Linked DNA regions of Caenorhabditis elegans. The protein of the gene in region 1 purifies or fractionates together with the protein of each later gene. This does not show direct contact. Each region holds a gene or a part of one and is shown in the gene's direction. Other genes may lie near its edges.

Region 1 (7,953 bases):
GGAAGAGAAGAAGACCACCGTCGAATCCGAATCCATGGATGAATGGTCGTTGCGCGCGCGCGAGCGACAATTCTCGGGCGGCGTCATGACTGACCGTGACTCTGCATCTCTGAAATTTCAATACTATTTATTATCCTTTTCTACCGTAATCCATTCTCTCACTCTCTTTGCTTCCAATTCGTCCCATCCAACAGTAGTAGCAGCAGCTATTTTCTCGCTTTTCCCCCTTTTGTACAAACTCTTATTATTCATCTCCTCCTTTTTATGAACGATCTTCCTTTACAATTTTTTTAGTACATTTCAAATTTGATTTCATATTTGCCAAGCTACCGTATTCTTTTCCCAAATCCCCACATTTTTTTGTTTGAAAGTTGTCGGCTCCTTTTCTGAATTCTGAATCACACGTGTTTCAAATGAAAAAGACAAACAGATCTGACCCCGCCTCGCTCTTTTTCTTCTAAACTTTTAACTTTTTTTTCTCACCCGTCACTTTTTTTGAAAGTTGCCAATTTAGGTTTTTTATACAAGCTCTGGAATTTGTGCCCGCGGTGATGGGAATTTTCGAGGTTTATGAACAAAAATTATGTGAACAAGCTTGAATTTTTCTGAAATATTAAAACAATCTTCAAATGAACTTGTTTGGTTTTCAGTTCTCCGGCACATATTCCTGAGCAACTCCCGTAGGCTTGAAATTAAAAAATTAAGTTTTTTCAAACTTAGCCAATTGTTTTAGTTTTTATTGTTTAATACGAATTATTGGGAGTATCTAAAGCAATTTGATGCAAAATCCCCACAAGTCATAGTCCGTCTTTAAGGGTATTCCCTATATTAGTATTAAATCGGACTGCTCACCTTTTCAGCTAATATCTTGGTTTTTTGTTTAGATATCCGAAATTGCACAACTGCAGAAATATTGAAAATTAGTCCGCAAATGTTTTTATAGTTGACAGTTTTTTGATACAACTAAAGAGAACCGAGATATAAGCCGCGAAAGTTGAGCAACGAGGTTACTTGTTGGATCGACAATATGCATACCGTATTCCCTTGACATCTTAAAAAAGTTTCAATTCAGAAGCTCAACTCTGAAATTAACTTGGAATTGAAAAAAATTGAGCTATTGAACTACTGCCTCTTCAGATTTTTCTTGAGACGTTGACGCCTGACTTATGCCTGTCTACCTCTTATATTCTGTAATTTAGGTTTTCGTTCAGTTCTTGTTGACTTTTTCAGTAGGCAGTATTGAAGATAGGTAGGCAGGCGCACATCCCGGACGCCTTAATAAGTTCCTCCTTTAAAAAAAACATTAATCTATTATTGCACAACCTCCCATCATCTAACCCACCTACCGTAATCACCAACTTTCCCTTTTTGCTCTTCTTAACTCTGCACTCTCCTCGGTCACCCAGCTATTTCACCCCAATTCTTCGAGTTCTTCCTTATCAAGGTCTTTTTGACAATTTCGGCGCCGTTTTCCTGATTCTCGCCCTCGCCTTTTCCCTCTCCGTGCTCTATTACTCTCTCGCTCTTGTTTTGAAACTTTTATTTGAATTGGTTCACTTTTAATTTGTCTTTCTTTTTGCCAAAAATTATTTTTATTTTACCAGAATCATGTTTTCAATTTCAGAAAATAAATCTCTCTTCTCTTTTCCTTCGATCTCATTTTAAACAAAACCTGTAAAAAATGGGTCAAGGAAGTGGGGATGACGGTGTTCCGCCGGCACCGTTCTCTTCGGCTGCTGCGGCAGCTCACTCACCACCTCATTCTCCCCTTTCTGTCGGCGTTTCTTCTGCTTCATCTGCCACGTCATCATCTTCCACACCGCCATCATCCACGTCACCTGCCGGAGTTTCAGCGTCAGGTAAGTTGTGATAGGATACTGTAACTCGGCCCCCTTGGCAGCCATCCGTGATCTACATTTGCGAAGAAATCGAATCAGCCAAATTCGTTTTTCTTCCCTCCACTTCTTTTTTTTCCTTTTCGGATTTCTTATCAAATTTCAATGCCGCCAAGCTTATCATCGCCGCGCTATCACTTATCATCAAAATGTTCTTTTCCCTCTTGAACTAGACGTGGACACCATATAAAAAAGAACAAATGAAAGTGAAAACAAAAAAAACAATCACTTCAAAATTTAAACCGAAAGAAAAAACTGTGAAGCTGTCATTTTATACAATGAACATTTTAATTTCAGGTGCGAGAAACGTTGAAACTGATTGGAAGCAGTCGGGAGATGAGAATCTTGCCGAATTATGTATATTTCATGTTCCAGACAAATCTGTTAGTTTGGTGAGTTCGTATTTTATAGTCTATAAAGTTTTAAAAACCGAGCCTGCCTGCCTACATGTATATTTCTCTAAAAAAATGGTTTTGGAACAAAAAGTTCTCTAGAAATTTGGAAAGTTCAAAACGTTCCATAGAAAGTTTGAGATGTGCACTAAAAAGTTGCTTTTTTGCCGACCGTTTTTTTGCCAGGACTACAAAAATAGTATGAGAAAGTTAATATACATCGAAAAAAACCATTTCAATTTTAATTCCATTTATTTTCAGCCAAATCCAAAGCGAGCAGAATGCACACTTCCTATGAACCTAATTCTCAAGTCCTCCTCAAAAAATCGAAAGAAATCGTCAATATGGTCATCTGATCATATTCCGAGAGGAGTCCGATTTGGCCCGCTCGTTGGAGAAATTCGTTTGGTAGATGTTGACACAGCACTTGTATGTCCTGCTGAAGCATCAATGGCTGGAGGTGGTCCAGCTCAAGAAGATGTTCCATTTGATGAAGCTCCGGAAGAGTGGAAGATCTATTCTCCATCAGGTGGCAGATTGAATAAAACGATTTGTGTGAAAGATGATGCGAGATCAAATTGGATGAAATACGTGGCAGCTGCTGAAGAGGAAGATTTTCAGAATCTTGTTGCTGCACAAATTGGAAATGATATCTACTTTTACACAGTTAAAAAGATTGAAGCAAATACTGAATTATCATTTTGGTTCAGCAGGGACTACGCAAGGAAATTAAATTATTCAACAAGACCATACGTAAGAGTTCGAAGGCCAGCTACTCAACTGATTCCATCTGCACCACCAGCTTCTGCATCAACTGCAATTGCGAGTTTAGCAGAAACAATTGTGGCAATTGATTATTCAGTTAAAAAACTCATTGAATCACCCATTGATACACTCTCTACTGATGCTTCTTCTGCAAGTGACGAAGAAATGATTGATGTTGAAGAGCAGGAGAGCTGTACACGGCCTGTTGCAGAAGTCACACGGCCTAATGTTATCCAGAATCCAGTTGTGAGGCCTGTTGCAACCAAAGTCAATAATTTCCCGGGAATACCCGTTCGACTTGGCAATTTTTATGCAAGTCCGTTGGTGGATTTTAAAGAGTTCATGAGGAAATCCCTTCAATTAAGTGAGTTTATTAATCCCACTCTGAATCTCTGATAAGCTGAAATTGAAAATTTTGAAAATGTAACACTTTTTTTTGAAGTTTTTTTCACTGGAGATGCAAAAAGTTGCTTAACATTTTGTTAACAAAACTTATCAGAAACAGCTAAAAACGCCATATGTCCTTGATGGGGATTAAGCTTCTGTCGACAAACAAGATACATTTGTATACTTTTTTTTTGTTTTTAACACATCAACTTAAGTTTAACAATATTTTCAGTTTGTTAAAATTGTTTCCTCAATCAATTAAATTATCAAATTGTTTATGCTTTACTATACTTTTTAATTAGTGATCTACCTGTTTTCGGATTTTCGGCAGCTTTTATCCCGTGCGGATGTGGTTTTATCAACGGAAAAGTTTTCAAAATACATGTTGTATGTTTATTCATAATTTTATAGCTTACTGTTAACTGCTAAGTTAAAAACAAACTGGGGCGTCCTAAAAAGTCCTGAAAACAATTGAACCCTATTTCAGAACTAGTTGATACCTCAATGTTTGTGTCCCCTGTTGCTCAAACAACAGCCGCAATAACTGCCACTGGTGGAAGATCCGGCCAGCCGATTGATGTGCAGCCAGTACTTGCAGCAACTGCAGGAGCTCATTTTGGAAACTATGCAGCAATTTATGGGAGTCAAGATTTCCAGCATGAGCTATCAAAACCTCTGTACACATCTGCGTCTCCAGCATTCGGAGGTGGTGGTGGTATGGGTGGAGGATTTGGAATGGGTGGAAGTGCCCATACTTCTTCATTTCATCAACTTCCATTTGTTAATCATTCGTCTTCATCACACAATGATTCATCATTTAATGGAGTTCCAAATGTAAGTTTTACCAAAGAAGATTTTTAATTTGTTGAACTTGATGGTTGATGGGAAAATATTTTGAAACATTCTTTTTAAAAAACAGTTGATATTTAAATGTTTAATACTAGATTTTTTAATTTTTTTAAATTATATATTTTTTATAATTTTTGACCCTGCCTCTATTTATCTCTACCTTTTATCTCTACCTTTTCTATGTTGATCCCAATAAAATTAGCAAAGTTTTGATACATAAATCAATTGATTACCGGGTGCTTTTTTGTAAATCTTTTTCAAATCAGGGCGCAAGGAGGGCGATTCACACGCCTAGACCTGGTAAAATGTCTAGTTATTCCTTTTCATATTTTCTACATGAAAATAAATTTAAATTAAAATTTTTCAGTACGTGCAACAACAGGAAAATGGAAAAACGAGATACGCTTGCAAAGACTGCAACAAAACATTCGGACAGCTTTCGAATCTTAAAGTTCATGTCAGGTTAGAACTTTTCTTATTTTCCAATTATTTTTTTACTTTCAACATTTCAGAACGCACACCGGCGAACGTCCATTCAAATGTGAAATTTGCACAAAAGAGTTCACACAGCTTGCTCATCTTCAGAAGCATCATCTTGTTCATACCGGAGAACGTCCTCATCGCTGTGATATTTGTGATAAGCGATTCTCGTCGACTTCTAATTTAAAAACTCATCTTCGACTTCACAATGGTCAGAAGCCGTATACGTGTGATGTTTGTGATGCCAAGTTCACTCAATACGTTCATCTAAGACTTCATAAACGTCTGCATGCAAACGAAAGACCGTATAGTTGTGGAACATGTGGAAAGAAATATATTTCACCGAGTGGATTGAGAACTCATTGGAAAACAACTACATGTAAAGAAGAGGATATGAAAGACTCGATGAGGGATGATTTAATGGATATCAAAGGCGAAATCGATGAAGGATCAATGTCAGGGTCGGGTTATGGAAATCTGGGAATCTTTGAAAATACACTGGTAAGTAATGAAGATTATATCGAGTTATACATGTTCCGCCGTTTTTTACAAAATGGAAACTAAGTTTTAAAAAGTTGATCAAATTTTTAATACTGTCCAAGTTTAAGTCGACAACGTTTCCTCTAATAGTATTGACCCACTTTTCCTAACTTTGTAAGTTCATATCTTAGTTGCCTATGGTTTTATCGAAAAATTTCTAACTGAGAAAATATTGAATTTGTGAAACATTTGGAAAAATATCTTTAGTGGACCGAGATATGAGATGTCAAAGTAGAGTAAGTGGGCGCAAGACTAATAGAAGAAATACGGTCGTGAATAAATTTTTTTGCTCGAGTTTTAGTTTTCGAGCTTTAGAAGAAATCAAGTAAATTACTAACAACAGCTTTGCTTCTGCTTACATTTTCACTGCTTTCAGAACTCCGAACTCAAGCGGCCACTTATGCCAATCGAAACCATTTATAGTGTAAGCTTTTATATTCGGCTTCATCATGCATACAAATAAATATTTCTTATCTCACTTTCCCATTCTCATCCTACAATTTTCAGAAATACAATCTTCCCAACGCCTCCCTCCTCGGTCAAGGTCCAAGTGGAATGCAAGAACAACAGGCTCCACCACCAACATCTCAACAGCAGCAACACATGATGTATGGAAACACAATGGGACATATGGGACAAGGATCCCATCTTCAGGGGCCACCACCACCTCCACAACATTTCCAAATGGATCATAGTGGAATGCAGAATGGAGGAGGTATTCCACATCAACATCAACTTATTCAAGGAGGTCCATCATCTGGATCTGGTCAACAGCAACATCCACAACATAATGGGATTCATAGGCTTCCTGATTTGAAAAATCCCCTACTTCCAAGCCTCGGATTGCCGCATTATCCATAATTATCATATTTATAACTTTATGAAAACACTACCCGTCTCCCACAATCCAGTCATATCATTTGTACTTGAGCTTCTGTGTAGGAATTAATGCCTCCACTGCGTGCCTCACAGCACTGCCTATTTTGGTAGAATAACGCAAATTTCATCTGAAAAAAGTTAATGTGAGAATGTAGATATAGAAAGATGTTTGTTAAGTTCGAAAATTCATTTTATTTCTATATCCGGATATTTTTCTATATTTTAACATTAATTTTTTATTGAAAAAATAATTTAACCAAAATTAGCAGTTTTTGGAGTGCCTGTAGGCAGGCGTGTAGGCATTTTATACCTACACAAGAGCCCCTGCTTGCTTCTCCAGCATCTTAGCATTTTCATTTTTTACTATGCTACTCAAATATTTTCAGATCCCTTTTACCAGTTTGTTTATAAGCCAGGTAGAAAACAATTAGATCAATTTTTTTCGCAAAATCTCAAATTGTTCTTACACCTTCCTGCCCCTTTCTCCATCCTCCCATTCCAGAACGAGTCTCTCATAATATTAATTGTATTCAAAAACTTCAAATTCAAATAATTCCACAAAGAACCTGAGTTAAAGTTCAAATAGTTCGTTTCTCAAAATTATCAGATTTAATATAATTATTTTTTTGAAATCTTCCATATACACCGCCTAAACCTATATTATCTTTTCATTCTCTCATTGTCTCTTGCTTTATCAGTCCCCTTTCATTCTTATCACTGTCAAAATTTTCTATTTTTTATTCAACAATTTCCATCAAAATCTTCCGGCATTTCAACACACCTATCTGTGATCATACTTTCATTATATTTTTGCAATTTCTTTCTAGAAGTTGTTTCTATTTTCTAACTTTTTCAAAACAATATCTTGTCTAATTTTGTATGTATATATATAAACTTTGAAAACTTGATAGGATTACATACATACTAATTTTCTCGAAAATTTCCGGCAAATCGGCAAACCGGTGAGGTGCCAAATTTGCCGGAAAAACGGCAAATCGGTAAGTTGCCACAATTGAAATTTCCGGCAAATCGGCAAACCGGCAAAGTGCCGAATTTGTCGAAATTGAAAATTTCCAGCAAATCGGCAAATCGGTAAGTTGCCAGAATTGAAATTTCCGGCAAATCGGCAAATTGACGGAATTGAAATTTCCCGATTTGCCGTAATTGAAAATTTCCGGCAAATCGGCAAACCGGCAACTTGCCGGAATTGAAATTTCCCGATTTGCCGTAATTGAAAATTTCCGGCAAATCGGCAAACCGGCAACTTGCCGGAATTGAAATTTCCCGATTTGCCGGAATTGAAACTTCCGGCAAATCGGCAAACCGACAGCTTGCCGGAATTGAAATTTCCCGATTTGCCGAAATTGAAATTTCCGGCAAATCGGCAAACCGGCAAAGTGCCGAATTTGTCGAAATTGAAAATTTCCAGCAAATCGGCAAATCGGCAAGTTGCCAGAATTGAAATTTCCGGCAAATCGGTAAATTGACGGAATTGAAATTTCCAGCAAATCGGCAAATCGGCAAATTGCCAGAATTGAAATTTCCGGCAAATCGGCAAATTGACGGAATTGAAATTTCCCGATTTGCCGTAATTGAAAATTTCCGGCAAATCGGCAAACCGGCAACTTGCCGGAATTGAAATTTCCCGAATTGGCGTAATTGAAATTTCCGGCAAATCCGCAAACCGGCAACTTGCCGGAATTGAAATTTCCCGATTTGCCGAAATTGAAATTTCTGGCAAATCGGCAGACAGGCGAAATGCCGAA
Region 2 (5,376 bases), on another chromosome or scaffold:
TCACAATTCTTGAAACATCGGAGGTTTCGGTGAGTTTCAAAGTTCACCACCCTCTGTTTCTGCGTATCGCGATCTCGTGGGCTCTTCGAGCATCTCCCAAAAATAGTAGAGACGATATACAACAATCTGTGCGGTCAGCAGAAAGAGAAAGAGAGAGAAAAAACGTGCGTGTGTCCGAAATGCAAATATAAAATTGTATTGGAAGGAAGAAGCGAACGTACTGTTGTGTTCCGCGATTGCTCCGCGCGCCGCGCCCTTTTGATACTCATCTTTTCTTCCAATTCCGGAGACTCCCACTTTTTGTAATTTGAAAGAAACACACATAAGACGCGCTTGACCCCTGTCAATTTAGAAGATATGCATCTTTTAGATGAAGGAACAAAAAACCCGCGAAAACGTGGTGTGAATTATTTAAAACTCTTTTTCTCCCCCTCTCATTTCTTCACTCTTTTTCTTCCCAAATCCGTCCGGTTTCCATTTCGCCGTACGTTGACGGTGGTGAACGGTGGAGAGACTTGTTCAGTGTTCTAGATTATATGGTTCGATAAAAAGTACAGTTTTGAATACTTTCCTGTTTTCCATGTATATTTATCTTTTTTGGAATGACACTTTTACCGAATTTGACACCTTCGGATTCTGGTTTTGATGTATTCAAAGTTTAATTACAGTTTTTCTGATTTTCCTTGCCCGGCAAAGTTTGAGTTTTTATTCCAACAATAATTCCAGCAAATGATACTCTTTTCTTGAAACTGGAAAAAAAATCTTGGAAGCTTGTTGAAAAGCTATATAACTCAAGCCTTTTAATTTTTGCCGACTATCGAGTTTTCTGAAATTTTCCTTTCCTCACAATCAGTGGTAACATTTTGAAATAAATGTACGCTAGGTTAAAAAAATATTTTTTGAAATTGAAAAACGTAAAACTTACCATAAGGCCCATTTGTGAAGTGGCAGCAAAAAAATGTTGTGCTATTTACCAGACAATATGCTGCAAAATGCAACAAAAAAAATCAATTACATAATTGATTTCAATTAAAGCGATTTCATTGAACGAGCATATTTTTCCTTTTGCGACCACATGTTTTGAATAAAAATCATTTATTGAATTTAATTGTCAATAAACATTAAATAGTTGTGTCCAGAAGCCATGCTATTACCCATAAGCAAAATTTCACGATTTTTAGCCAACAATAAAGTGCCCGGTCTCGACACAACAAATTTTTGTCAAAAGCGAGAAGGTGTACTGTGATTCAAACTCTCTTTTCTACACAGTTATCATCGATTTTTCATAATTTTTCGTTGAAATTTTTAGACCGAGTACCGTAGCATCGAAAATACTATGATTAGAAATCTGAATTATTCCAATTTCAAATGAGAATTCTAATGCTCTAAACCTGCTCCATAAGCTCATCTACTCCCCCGTAAATTGAATATTTTTCTTATTTTTTTAAAAAATAAGAAAACGAATGTAATAATCCTGACACCACATTGCCGACTGCACAACCGAATCAAATATTTTATTCCTCTCTTCTTTTCTTCTTTGAAGAGCTCATCATCTCCTACATATTTCCTTCCTCTGACGTCTCCAAGTAGAAAAAAAAAGAGTTTGCCTTCTTTTCCCAAGAAGTTTTCTTCCAACTTTTCTCCCATTTCTCATTACTTTTTCTATCGGCTCGTCATCATTTGACGACCCCAACTTATCAATGAATTTAACACTGATAAATGCATTTCCACGTCGTTCCTCGGTTTTCCATTTCATTTTTCTTCGTTTTCTCGTGACTTATAAGCAATGTTTTAGGGAATTAGGGAATGTCATCCTTGAAGGTTTCCAGAATAAAAACTGTCTAGTTTTAGATTATATCATAATTTGAACTGTAGAAAAAATTTCCAAATATCTACTTAATTTACAGAAGTTATCTGGGACACTCTCCACGTTAACAATAATCTCAAATAGATATACTCCGTTCCTCTAATTATTGAATTTTTTAAAAAACTAATTCTAAATGTTTACTCTTATATTATATTTTTTGGGAAATTGCAGTTTTTGCTTTGTTTGCTCTTTATTTCCCACAAAAACTATCATAAAAACTCTCTCTCTCTCTCACTATGCTTCATGAGATTGTTTTTAAAGTTTAAAGTTTTTTATTTGGAATTTAAATTTTTAATATTTTCACACACATTATATTTTTACACCTTGAAACGTCCGTAATCTTCAATAATTTCAGTTGATGGCGGAGGAAGAAGAAGTGTCGAGTGACGATGTGCTTATGGAATCGCGGCCTTCTCTCGTTTCAACGAGAGCCGCGCATCTTTCTCCAAAACTTCAGAGAAGAGGATCCTCATCTGCACGAAAATTCGGTAAGTATTTGAAGAAAACTAGGTCGGTGATGAAGGATACAGCGGTGTTCGATCATCGATCGTCATAAGCTTATCGTAGAGTGTATGTGTGACACTGACCTCTGTTGACCCGCCCGGTGGATTCAATTCTACTATCTGTCCGATGTATCCAATTTAATCTTCCGTTTCTCGTGATGTTTGTGTTGCTATTGACACTTTAAAAAATTAAAAAGATCAGACTAAAAATAGGAACAAGCAAATTTGATAATGATGAACATAAAAGTAAGAGCTCAAAAAATAATTTCTCCACGTTAATAACTTTTTCTCTAACTGTAACAGGAGTGCGCTCACTAAACTTTTTCGAATTTCCACCACGATTGTCTACTTTTAAAAAATGTCCTAAAAAGGTGGCAATCACATCTATGTTCAAAAAATCTCTAAAATAGCACAACTAGCAAGAAAAATATTTCAGCTCGTTTTTAGTTCCAGATGAAACTTATGTCTTTTAAATGTGAGTCTTGAAATATGTCATTACAAAACATTACAGTTCTTTGGCCTGAAAGAATTTTGCAAAGATTTTTGTCAAAAATTTTCAGAATGACCTTTTCTAATTCAATGTGCTCCTTTGTTGCCAATTTTTAAAAGTAACCTATTGCCAAGGCACTCTTTCAAATGATATAGGTTTTATTTAGAATTCTAAAAATATGCTGAAATACTTTCATGGGAGCTGGATTTTTTGCCCGAGCCTTTTGATGCATAGTGTTTTGCACTTTTTATTGTGAATTCTGCAATGTCACCTGATTAACTATTGTGGCGTTTGCTTATGGAAACCGGAGAAAACTAAAATTTCATTGAATGACGTAAGTCACATTTCAAATTTATTCTCACCTTTTCTGGAGTGCACAAAAAATTACATAGGCAATACACTTTTTTTCAAATTTGATGTCCTTTTTCTTTTTGTTTTTCAAAGCATATTTGAGCTATAAAACTTGACCCGAACCTATAAATTACCACTCATCATCGGGTTGTTATCTCGTGTCGGGTTCATCGCAATAACATACATGAAGAATATTGAAAGAAGGTCGTCTCTCGAGTCAGTGAGTGGTGTCTTCTAGTAGTGCACGCCCGGTACCACCACCGGTCAATGTGTTGTTGCCGTTGCCGACGACCATTTTCCGCGCATCTCATCATCTCCCCCTCCCATGGGCCACCTTCCACGTGTTGTCTGCGTACCCTCACCTTCGAAAGAAATGCCAACTGTGAATAACAATATCGTTATGTTGGAGAAAGGACAGGCCGGCACTGACATACACTCACACGCGAGATTTTCGTTAGATCACTTCGGAGTTGTCTGCGTGTTTTTCTTTTTATTTCTATGCTTTTGAGGTAATATGAGACATTTCAAAAAAAAAAATAGAGAATCATCAAAAAAGTGATGAAGAGAATTTGGCAGAGTGAATCGAAAAACTACTTCCGGCTTTTTCTTTTTTTCCCATCTATGTTTTCATTTTTAGTCAGCTGCTTTTATAGTTTTCGTATTTATATTTTTTGTGCTTTTCTTTTCTCTTGTAACCCCTTTAAACTTTTATCAGGACCGATGGAAAATAATTTTCAAACTGTCTGATTAAAATACTTTTTCTCAAATTATTTTCCTGTTGAAAAAAAGAAAGACTCGAGATTTTTTGGTAATATTATTTCCGATTTGATCAATAATCGGGAAAAAACTTTGAAAAAATGTTCCGTTGGAGACTCCCCATGAACATATTTTAAAAGTACATGTGGATTTAAAACAAGTTTGCAGGTTTTTGAAACACACATTTTGGAACTTTATTTTTAAAAACTCACAGTTAGCAAGAAATACAATTTGCAAATTTTTTCTGCAAGTATAAGATTTTTCTAAATTGGAAAAAAAATACCTGAAGCTGCAAAACTTTGCTGTCAGGTGATATTTTATTACCAAAAAGAAAAAAAAATCAAAAATGTTTGAGGAGTAATTTTTTAAAGTATTAAGAGAATTGAAAGAATTTTGTGAATATTAAACCATTTTCCCAGTTTTTTCGCAGTGAAAGCTGATAGTTTTAACGCCATCACATTCATTTTTTTTTAAAGTTTCTCGGCAAAATGGCCTAACTTCGTAGCATACTCTTGCAACTTCTTAACAACCATTAGGCATTTTAGCTTTTAAGCAAACTTCTGCAGCTTTTCAGACGACTTTTGCAATTTTTTAGCAGATGTAAAGCTAAATTTCGCTCACAATCCCGTTGGTTTTCGCAACTTCTTAACAGCTTTTTACAAAGTTATATGAATGTTTTTATTAAGTTGCAGGAGATTGCTATGAAGTTGCGACGTTTTGCCGAGTTGGAGTTAACATAATTTCTGATGTGTCTAGTTGGGTAGTTCAACTGGTCAACATCATTTTCATCCCTGTCATTCTCAAAAAACGGAGCACTACCCTTGATCTAACCTAACCCAAAAAAACTAAACAAACAGTGACCCTGGCACGGCTTGCTCCTAAAGCAAACCCATTGAGCTTCTCCCCAATTTTTTCACAGTTAGTTCTCCTTCTCGTCCCTTCTTTCTCAATTCCACAGCGTGACCATCATCACTAGCCCAATGGATCCACGCCCCATCTACATCATACAGGGGGCCGACGACACCGAATCCAGTTTCAATTCATGGCTATTGCTGACTGCTTCTTGCCCTCATTTTCCTCTTTGCTACATGCCACATTCTCTCACTCTATGTCCTCTTCGGTGTAGGCATCGTCTCCATCGTCGTACAGTTGGACGTTGATGACGATGAAGACTAGGGGCATTCAAAAACTGGCCAAAGGCATTGAATGATGAAGGACAAGAACACCTATATGCTTCTGTAAACATCGATGCTTTTGTAAATTTTATGTTTACGCACCTTTTGTCGCCTCCCCCACACATAAATTGCTATTTTCGGAATGTTTCTTCTGACCTCCTACAATTGTCCCATCAGGCCGATTCAATTACACATTTCAATCTAGTCTTATTATTGATTAGACACATCATCACA

The links. The genes of interacting proteins can lie anywhere in the genome.
Region 2: the proteins of blmp-1 (region 1) and dre-1 purify together in Caenorhabditis elegans (affinity purification with western blotting; 2 studies listed by BioGRID). This does not show direct contact.

Annotation. Positions count from the first base shown.
Region 1 is NC_003279.8:10,407,678-10,415,630, forward strand, and holds blmp-1 (B lymphocyte-induced maturation protein 1 homolog), read left to right. Parts: upstream 1-1,624; 5' UTR 1,625-1,681; coding exon 1,682-1,859; intron 1,860-2,192; coding exon 2,193-2,287; intron 2,288-2,548; coding exon 2,549-3,416; intron 3,417-3,926; coding exon 3,927-4,273; intron 4,274-4,655; coding exon 4,656-4,750; intron 4,751-4,800; coding exon 4,801-5,269; intron 5,270-5,684; coding exon 5,685-5,732; intron 5,733-5,815; coding exon 5,816-6,169; 3' UTR 6,170-7,096; downstream 7,097-7,953. UniProt on the Caenorhabditis elegans protein: Transcription factor which binds to enhancer elements in the promoter region of genes. Regulates the expression of the transcription factor bed-3 to control vulval development.
Region 2 is NC_003283.11:6,543,341-6,548,716, reverse strand, and holds the start of dre-1 (F-box domain-containing protein), read left to right. Parts: upstream 1-2,225; coding exon 2,226-2,355; intron 2,356-4,945; exon of another isoform or gene 4,946-5,151; intron 5,152-5,376. UniProt on the Caenorhabditis elegans protein: Substrate recognition component of a SCF (SKP1-CUL1-F-box protein) E3 ubiquitin-protein ligase complex which mediates the ubiquitination and subsequent proteasomal degradation of target proteins including blmp-1.